Linked DNA regions of Mus musculus: region 2 is reported to be linked to region 1. Evidence: microRNA targets listed by miRTarBase, many of them from high-throughput screens and not tested one by one. Region 1 holds a microRNA gene; the other region holds the end of a gene's coding sequence.
Evidence for each region. Region 1 holds the annotated microRNA mmu-miR-343 (UCUCCCUUCAUGUGCCCAGA, at 2,680-2,699, shown strand). A microRNA usually pairs through its seed, bases 2 to 8, with sites in the 3' UTR of a target mRNA and lowers its output. Matches are read on the target gene's strand: a 7mer-m8 pairs with bases 2 to 8, a 7mer-A1 pairs with bases 2 to 7 and ends in A, and an 8mer does both.

Region 2: miRTarBase lists Irf6 as a target of mmu-miR-343. Seed matches in the 3' UTR shown: 7mer-m8 at 1,164-1,170.

What each region holds. Positions count from the first base shown.
Region 1 is chr7:19,384,009-19,388,430 of GRCm38, forward strand. It overlaps Mir343 (microRNA 343), which reads left to right and starts at 2,635; the gene lies at 2,635-2,709. Ercc2 (excision repair cross-complementing rodent repair deficiency, complementation group 2) reads left to right here. Exons shown (of 23, transcript NM_007949.5): 3 at 1-13; 4 at 91-153; 5 at 294-407; 6 at 1,615-1,731; 7 at 1,822-1,938; 8 at 2,699-2,822; 9 at 2,924-3,020; 10 at 3,105-3,238; 11 at 3,321-3,489; 12 at 4,132-4,250.
Region 2 is chr1:193,168,810-193,172,809 of GRCm38, reverse strand. It overlaps Irf6 (interferon regulatory factor 6), which reads right to left. Exons shown (of 8, transcript NM_016851.2): 8 at 774-3,528. The coding sequence ends at 3,304. Among named protein-coding and RNA genes, the nearest start is that of A130010J15Rik, 2.8 kb to the left of the region's middle.

The DNA of each region.
Region 1 (4,422 bases):
GGCCTATCAGCGGGTGAGTGGCCTTCTGAGTGCCTGGAGTGGGGGCTGAGGGGTGGGGCTGGATGGGGCTGAGGTCCCTGTCACCCACAGGCTTATCCGCTGGAGGTGACCAAACTTATCTACTGCTCACGGACCGTGCCAGAGATTGAGAAGGTGGGCAATGCAGATGGGACCCATGCTCTGCCCCCTCCCCTGGGCCTTGGTGGTCCCCCATCTCTGCCCTCGGTAGCCCGGTGGGCAAGGACTTGTGCTTGCCCTGTGGTCCCCACCTAATGCTCCCATCATCTGAGCAGGTCATAGAAGAGCTTCGTAAGCTACTCAGCTTCTACGAGCAGCAGGAGGGCGAGAAGCTGCCGTTCTTAGGACTGGCTCTGAGCTCAAGAAAGAACCTGTGCATTCATCCCGAGGTGAGCCCTGCGCTGTCACCCTGGGCCACTCCATGCAAGCCCCAGAGGGAACCCGTTGTCAGTATGAGTGGGGCTTGCTGCTCAGTTGTTAGGCCAATGCTCATCCTTATGGCTAAGGGTAGCACCTGTACCAGGATCAGAAACTGCTTACATTCCACATGGCACCTCAGACTCACACATTTGACCTGTGACAGGTCAAAATCTAAATGGTAGCTTACTCAAAGGATTGGGTATTTTTATATACAGGCAAAATAAGATAATTTCATGACAGCCTCACGTCCTGCCTGACAGTATCCATTATGTTCATGCCGGTATTCCACAACCCACACACATCAGGGAACCAAAGCCCTGCTGAGCCAAGTGCTTGCAGAGAAAGGCCACTCAGGGATCGTTGTTTTCTGTTTGGGGTTTTTTTGTTTGTTTGGAGAGAAATTGAGGCACTTGTTTTTTAAAACCTTACATGTTTGTGTGTATGTGTGTGCACGTGGCGGTCAGAGGACAGCTTTGGGAGTCTGTTCTCTCTTCACTGTGTGGTCCCAGGTTGAAATCAGGCTGTCGGGCTTGGCGGTAGACATCCGCATTCACTGAACCATCCAGCTGGCCCTCTGCTTGGCTGGTTCTCTGTGATATGGATTGTCCATACAGCCTTGTGTGTGCTAGCAAGCACTCTCCCTACCACTGAGCTATGCCCCCAGCTCCTTTCCACCTTTTGTTTGGTGGGTTGCCAGGTTCCCAGGTTGACCTGTGTTTGTATTCCTCCTACTTCAGTGTCGGAGTGACTGGGATTGCAGGCACCTGCTGCCATGTCCAGCTCTGATGGGATGATTTTAGCCATGCTCCACACTTACAGTACTGCAGGAAGTTCTTTTAGCAAATAGCAAATCAGCCAGTTGTGGTGGTGCATGCCTTTAATCCCAGTACTCGGGAGGCAGAGGCAGGCAGATCTCTGTGAGTTCAAGGCCAGCCTGATCTATAAAATGAGTCCAGGACAGCCAGGGCTATTATACTGAGAAACTCTGTCTTTAAACACCAAAAACCAAACGAACAAAAGACCAAATACCAAATCAGGTGAAGGTTTCCACTGCCCCCAAACCCTAGCTGACGTACTACTCCTGGTGTCTGAGTTTGGAGACCCAAGTTACAATAGCTGATATGCACCACTTCCTGTCTCTGTTTTATGTTGTCCCCTGACACCCCGCCCCCTCAGGTGACTCCACTGCGCTTTGGGAAGGATGTTGATGGGAAGTGTCACAGCCTAACGGCGTCGTATGTGCGGGCACAGTACCAGCAGGATGCCAGCCTGCCTCACTGCCGCTTCTATGAGGTACAGGGAAGAGCCTAGAACTGGTGAGCAGGGTGGGGGCCACGCCAGAGCCGCTCTCCCTGACCCTGCCACCCTCTGGCCTTGCCCCAGGAATTTGACATCCATGGACGCCAGATGCCGCTCCCTGCGGGCATCTACAACCTGGATGACCTGAAGGCCCTAGGGCAGCGCCAGGGCTGGTGCCCCTACTTCCTGGCTCGATACTCGGTGAAGAGTTGTTTTGTTTCCTTATGAGGCAGGATCTCATTTGTAGCCCAGCTGGCCTCAAACTTGGAATAACCCTGCCTCAGGTTCTCAGCTGTCAGGGGTATAGGCATGAGCCACCGTGCCCATCCTTCTGCTGGCCCATCTGTCTACTTGACTCTGTGCTGTTACGTCTTTATGTCTGTTGTCTGGATCGTCTGTCTCCGTCCTAGTATCTCTGCTTTCTTGTGCCTTGCCTGGGTGGTCCTTGATGTGTTTATAAAAAGATAAAGGGGGAGATATGTTCTATGGAGGTGTGGGGAAAGGGGTGCCTCTGCAGGCTCATGCTGAGGCGTCCCTTACCCCTGAGGGACCAGCCACCACACGACAGTATAGTATAGAATAGGGTTTATTCAGGGCATGGGGAAGGGTGTCAAGAGGATAGTAGAGGCAGAGAAAGGCGGGGGAGGGAGGGAGGGGGGGGTTGCCCATGAGCACATGGAGAGAGATGGGGGAAGGGACTAGAGGATAGAGCAGGGGCAGGAAGGCAGAGCAAAGCAAGAAAGCAAGGGGGGGGGGGCAAGAAGCCCCTTTTATAGTGATTCAGGCACACCTGGCTATTGCCGTGTAACTGTGAGGTGGAGCTTAGACAAAAGGCTAACAGTCCTGTCCATCTTTCCACCCGTCGTTGTGTCTGTCTTTGTGGCACCTCTGTGTACCTGGGATAGAGTGGGTGTGGCGGGGGTAGCAGAGCCCAGGGCAACCTCTCCCTTCATGTGCCCAGATCCTGCATGCCAACGTGGTGGTTTACAGCTACCACTACCTCCTGGACCCCAAGATCGCAGACCTGGTATCCAAAGAGCTGGCTCGCAAGGCTGTTGTGGTCTTCGATGAAGCTCACAACATCGGTGAGGAGGGCGGGCATCAGGGTGTGCAGACAGTGGCAGCCCTCTGCCTCTGCCCCCAGGCCTGCCTGAGCCCGGCTTTCATCCCTTTGCTCTTTCCTCAGACAATGTCTGCATTGACTCCATGAGTGTCAACCTCACCCGCAGGACTCTGGACCGTTGCCAGAGCAACTTAGACACCCTACAGAAGACCGTGCTCAGGTGCCTGTCTGCTCCCACTGTTGTGTGTGCCTCAGTGCCCTGGGCACCTGCCTCATTCCAGCTCCTGTCCCATGTCCCCATCAGGATCAAGGAGACGGATGAGCAGCGGCTGCGGGATGAGTACCGGCGCCTGGTGGAGGGCCTGCGGGAGGCCAGTGTGGCCCGGGAGACAGATGCCCACCTGGCCAACCCTGTGCTGCCGGACGAGGTGCTGCAGGGTGAGCTACTCCCCACTCCCCCACCACCCAGCCCCTGCCCCGCACACGCACCCCTGTACCACCTGACTGGGTCTCCCTGCAGAGGCTGTGCCTGGCTCCATCCGTACGGCTGAGCACTTCCTGGGCTTTCTGCGGCGGCTGCTGGAGTATGTCAAGTGGCGTCTGCGCGTGCAGCATGTGGTGCAGGAGAGTCCACCTGCCTTTCTGAGCGGCCTGGCCCAGCGGGTGTGCATCCAGCGCAAGCCCCTCAGGTGCGGCCTGCACGGGGAACCACGGGCCCAAGCCTTGTTGCTGATGATAAAGGGGTCTGGACCATAGATAAGGCTAAGGGGCAGGTCAGAACTGGATGTGGAGGGCATCCATTGGACTGTGTGGTTGGCAGTGAGTGCCGCAGCCACGTGTCCCTATGTTGGGTGATGAGCAGGTGACACAGCCTTTGTGAGGCTAAGAAAGTATGTGGCTATTCCTCCTTGAGCGTTGGGCCCGTGACACTGGCTGGACAGAAACAGAGTGACTGCTAGCTGGGAGTCTTTTTTTTTTTTTTTTTGGTTTGGTTTTTTGAGACAGGGTTTCTCTGTGTAGCCCTGGCTGTCCTGGAACTCACTTTGTAGACCAGGCTGGCTTCGAACTCAGAAATCCGCCTGCCTCTGCCTCCCGAGTGCTGGGATTAAAGGCGTGCGCCACCACGCCGGGCTCTAGCCGGGAGTCTTAACAGGATATTGCGTGTGAGCAGTGAGCCTGTGCACTGTATGTGCTGTGCTCCAGCCTGGAGTGGTAGCTCTGGGGGTCTTCTACAGTATGGGGTAGCTTCACACAATGCCCAGGTGCCCAGGGAAACATGGTGAGAGTCGGGCCTGTTGCTGCTTCCCGCTCCTGACCCCGTTGCCTCTCAGGTTCTGTGCTGAACGCCTGCGCTCCCTGCTGCACACCCTGGAGATTGCCGACCTGGCCGACTTCTCCCCGCTCACACTCCTTGCTAACTTCGCCACTCTCGTCAGCACTTACGCCAAGGGTGAGCTCGCCTTTCTACTGGGGATCTGACAGCAGGACTTGGGGGTCAGCCACATGGGTGGGGCATTAGCAGGGGGCAAGACCATACAGAGTGCCTGAGTGAGGAGCCTCGTGGTCAGATTCTCGTGTTCAGAGAACAAGTGTGTGGGCTGTGCTGTGGCACTGACCAGAAG
Region 2 (4,000 bases), not on the chromosome of region 1:
AAGTTAAAAATATTGTGAGCTGCCTAACACGGGCTTTGGGAACGGAATTCAAATCTTTGGGAGAAAAAGCAGGTCTCATCTCTACAGCCACACTGTTGTGGTGGGGATTTGTTTGTTGAGACAATGTCTTGCTATGTATTCCTCAAACATGACAATCCTCCTGCCTCAGCCTCGGAAGTTCTGAGGTTAGAGTCTACCCTAATTGAATGATACCTCAAGGAGTTATCTATACCTCAAGGAGGATGGGCAAAACTAAGGAGGGGAACACCATCTAGGAAGCCAAAGGTGAGTTAACATCCTTACTGGCCGCTTCAAGGCCACCCATGCCCCTGACCATAACCTCTGACCCACTGCTTTGTAAGTAAACCTAATGGACTCCTTGGTACCCCAGATTGAACTTCGGTGGAACTGTACCCTCATCTGCCATTAGGACCTTAGAAAGTGCCTTGTTCCTTTCTCCAGAGAAGTCTTACAGCAGATAGGAAGGTCAAATGTTGACATAAGGAATTTGCCTATATCTTCTGTGAAGGAAATCTTAAGAAAACTCTAGCCTGGACAAATGGCCCCAAGTTATGGGCAGCAAAATGGAGACCCAGACTGGAGGTTTTACAGTGGTGCTATGCTGGTACCTTCATACCAAAAAGGACCAGCAGTGTGTTAAAGACAGACAGACAGTATGTAAGGAGGATCAGTTTGTAGGGCCTGCCAGTCTAACTTAGGTTCTCAGCTCAGGGGGAGTCAGTACTAAAAATTGATAGAACCAGTACTCTAGCTTTATATTTTTTTCTTCCCAAGTTTATTTTACGTTCTCATGATAGTTAGCAATAAATCTCCAAATTGAAAGACGTAGGTCATTTATTACAGCACAAATATCTTAGAACACACTGTATCAGACACTGCTAAAGACCTGGCAATAAATCTAAGACAAACAGTTTTGACTTTCCAAGTTGGCAGTCAGTCAAGCAGAACATAGATGCGGAGCAATTTACAAACGACACAGTTACTCTTAAAGTTTAAGATGCTACATGAACATACAACTGAGAACTGTGGAGAGGAGATGAGATTCAGCATCTGCCTTCAGGGTTTATCTGTAGTGGTTCTTTTAACATTGGAGTTAATCTGGAGTGCACAGTAAGGAAAAGGAGGAACTGGGGGAAATCCTCCTCCCTTCTGAGTCTTCAAATGAAGGCAGGAAGAAGACAGCTGGAGAGTGAATGGGAGCATTGGGAAACTTAGAGCTCCTGGGGACTTGGTATCTACTAAAACCAGAGAAAGCTTACTGAATATGACAAGAGAAGATCCTGCATGTAGTGTGTGCTCCCAGCATTCCGAAAAAGATGCAAGACAAGAAACTGGACTGCCTAGATAGGACCACACAAAATCATGCATTGTCCCAACATATTTGTCAATTTTTCATTATGGTCACACACTAATAACTCAATCCATAGCCCTCAGAACATATTTTTCAACATTCTTTACCAGATCCTGTTGTCTGGACATTCCTCATAGCCTGCTGACTTGTCACAGAAGGGAAAGGAAATGTCCCCTATTCCACAGCTACCCTCCCACTTTCTCTGTAATGGGTTACTTTTAACTCTGAGCTTCCAGATGGAGCATCCACACATCAAGACTCCCTCACTTCATCTCACCAAATGATGCTACTCATTCCTCCAAAAAAGAATAAAGTCCCTAGCCTTGCATGATTCCTGGTCTATAAAAGCCTAACTTTTAAACTTCTACCTAAACTTCTCTTTAAACATTTTTAGTTAGCATACAAAGAGTTTTACTCTGACATGTTCATACTATGGCCATGTGTATAAAATTATACTTTGCTCTTATTCACAGAGACACCTGCCTTTCCTAACTCACCCAGATTTCTCTTGGTCCTCCTTTTAATAATCTCTAAGAGAACTTTAAACCAAATCTTAAGCATCCTAAGTAAGTCTCACTGCCACCAAAATTAGGTTGAGCTGTTAGACTTTAAATGCATCCCAACTTTCAGTGGCTAGAAAAGCAAAAGGTGCTACCTTTAGTGTAAGGGCAGCAGACTGTACAGAGAGGCATATCCCTGTGACATGAAACAGATAGACACCAGTATTCAAGAGGATTGAGGCTATAACCAGAGAGACCCATCTTACTTTTCATCTAAGTCTTGGAATTCAAATTATGAGAAGGGACTGGAGCAGACACTCTATGAGACATAACTGCACTGTTCTTCACTGTCTCCATGGCTCACAACAAGTGATATAAGCAGGTTTGAGCCTTCCCCAGAAGAGCACTATCCAGACGTTTAATATATGAAACACCTCATTTTCATAAATGGAAAAATCTGAATGTCAGACTCTTGAAAGTCTCTGAACAAGAACGGTCAATTTTGTTGTCAGAGCATATCACAGATGCCCGACTCCCTCCAGATGGTCTTTGAGAAGAAAATAAGGAAGAGGAGAGTGTCTGCCATGAGGCACATGGAATCATAGTTGCTCATCAACTTCACATATAAGATGGTGTGAGTGGTGACAAGGTATGTGGCTGGTGACAATTCTCCCATGGAGTCCCTCCACTGACAACCATTCTTACTCTCGTGGAATCCTTTGGCTTTCCATGTCACCATCTTCTCCTTTAATACTTACTTTATGAGCTTTTACTCCACACACAGGTTGGGTGACTTTCAGACCTTGGCACCATCTCTATTTAGATATCAAGACTGGTTGCTAGGCAACCAATCAGCTCCTCTCTTACTTCCTCCAGCAGGGAGCCAGCTGACTGTACTAGCAGAACAGGTCAAACAGAGCTCAATTCAGATCAGATCAGTGTTCAAGGAACTTGGATGAAAGCAAGAAGGGGAAACCATGTGGTCTAAACACAATGCAGAAGGGTCCTGTTCAGGCAGTTTTGTCTTAAACAAGTAGAGGAAAATAATCGAGTCAGAGTTTTAAGGCCAAATGCAATTTTGGGCATCATTCCAAACCTTTTTTATTTACAAGTGATGCATCTGATGCCCTCCAGTTAAACGATCTGTCTAACGTCAGACGGAAACACAGCTGCAGTTAGAGTTCTGGTGTCTAAACTTCGACATCAAATCTCCTACACCAACCATGGAAGATCTAAAAGGAACCCCTCAGGGGATGATACCTTGATAAGTTAGAGGAACTTTTAAAACTAGGCATATTTGGAAAGTCTCAGACTTCTAATGAGGTTATAGAAAGGAGATTTAAAAATTGACTAAACCTGAACTTAAAAAAAATCCTTATGTACAATATAAAAATGAGAGAGGAGAGAAGAGGACACGCACAGCAGTCTGGGTCACTGGGCAGGCAGAGCCTGTGGCAGCTGCATGCTGGGGGCAGGCTGCATGGGCTGCCAGCTCTCCTGGGTTTGAAGGATGCGGTACAGCTGCTTGAGCTGAGCAACGATGTTATCTTTGATGTCTGGAGTGGAGATCTGCAGGCGAACGCTGCCACTGTCAAAGGACCGGGTAAAATCACCAGAAAACATCTCATAGATCATGCGAGCCACCACTGGGATGACCTGTTCAGGCAAGAGCACACAAGTTTCCACTGAAGAACAGGCATTTTTAAGTAGCAGGAGAGGCCCCGACATTGATGAAGAAGCTCTGAGGCCCTGAGAAGCACTCGGCTTCCCCACCAACATCTAGATACTAGTGAACAGCTATATCTCACTAGTCAAGGTTTACCTTAGATGTTGGTTAATTCAAAGAAAGGAACCTGGATGTAGCATCATTCCACATGCCTAGCTAGGTGGTGGCTTACTTAGCAAAACTGTGAATCAAGAGGCATCCACTGCCTATCTTGGTGTATAAGTCCATGCAAAACCCCAAGTAGACTTGCAACCATCCCCAGAACAGTTACATCTTACAAACATGGCCAAAATGTTTTATAAGAAGATATAGAAAATGTTACTTCTTATAAGGTCTTAGCAAGATCCTAACATCAGCAGGAGAATGAAAGGTGAAGTGTCCGTTAAATTGTCCATCCATGTT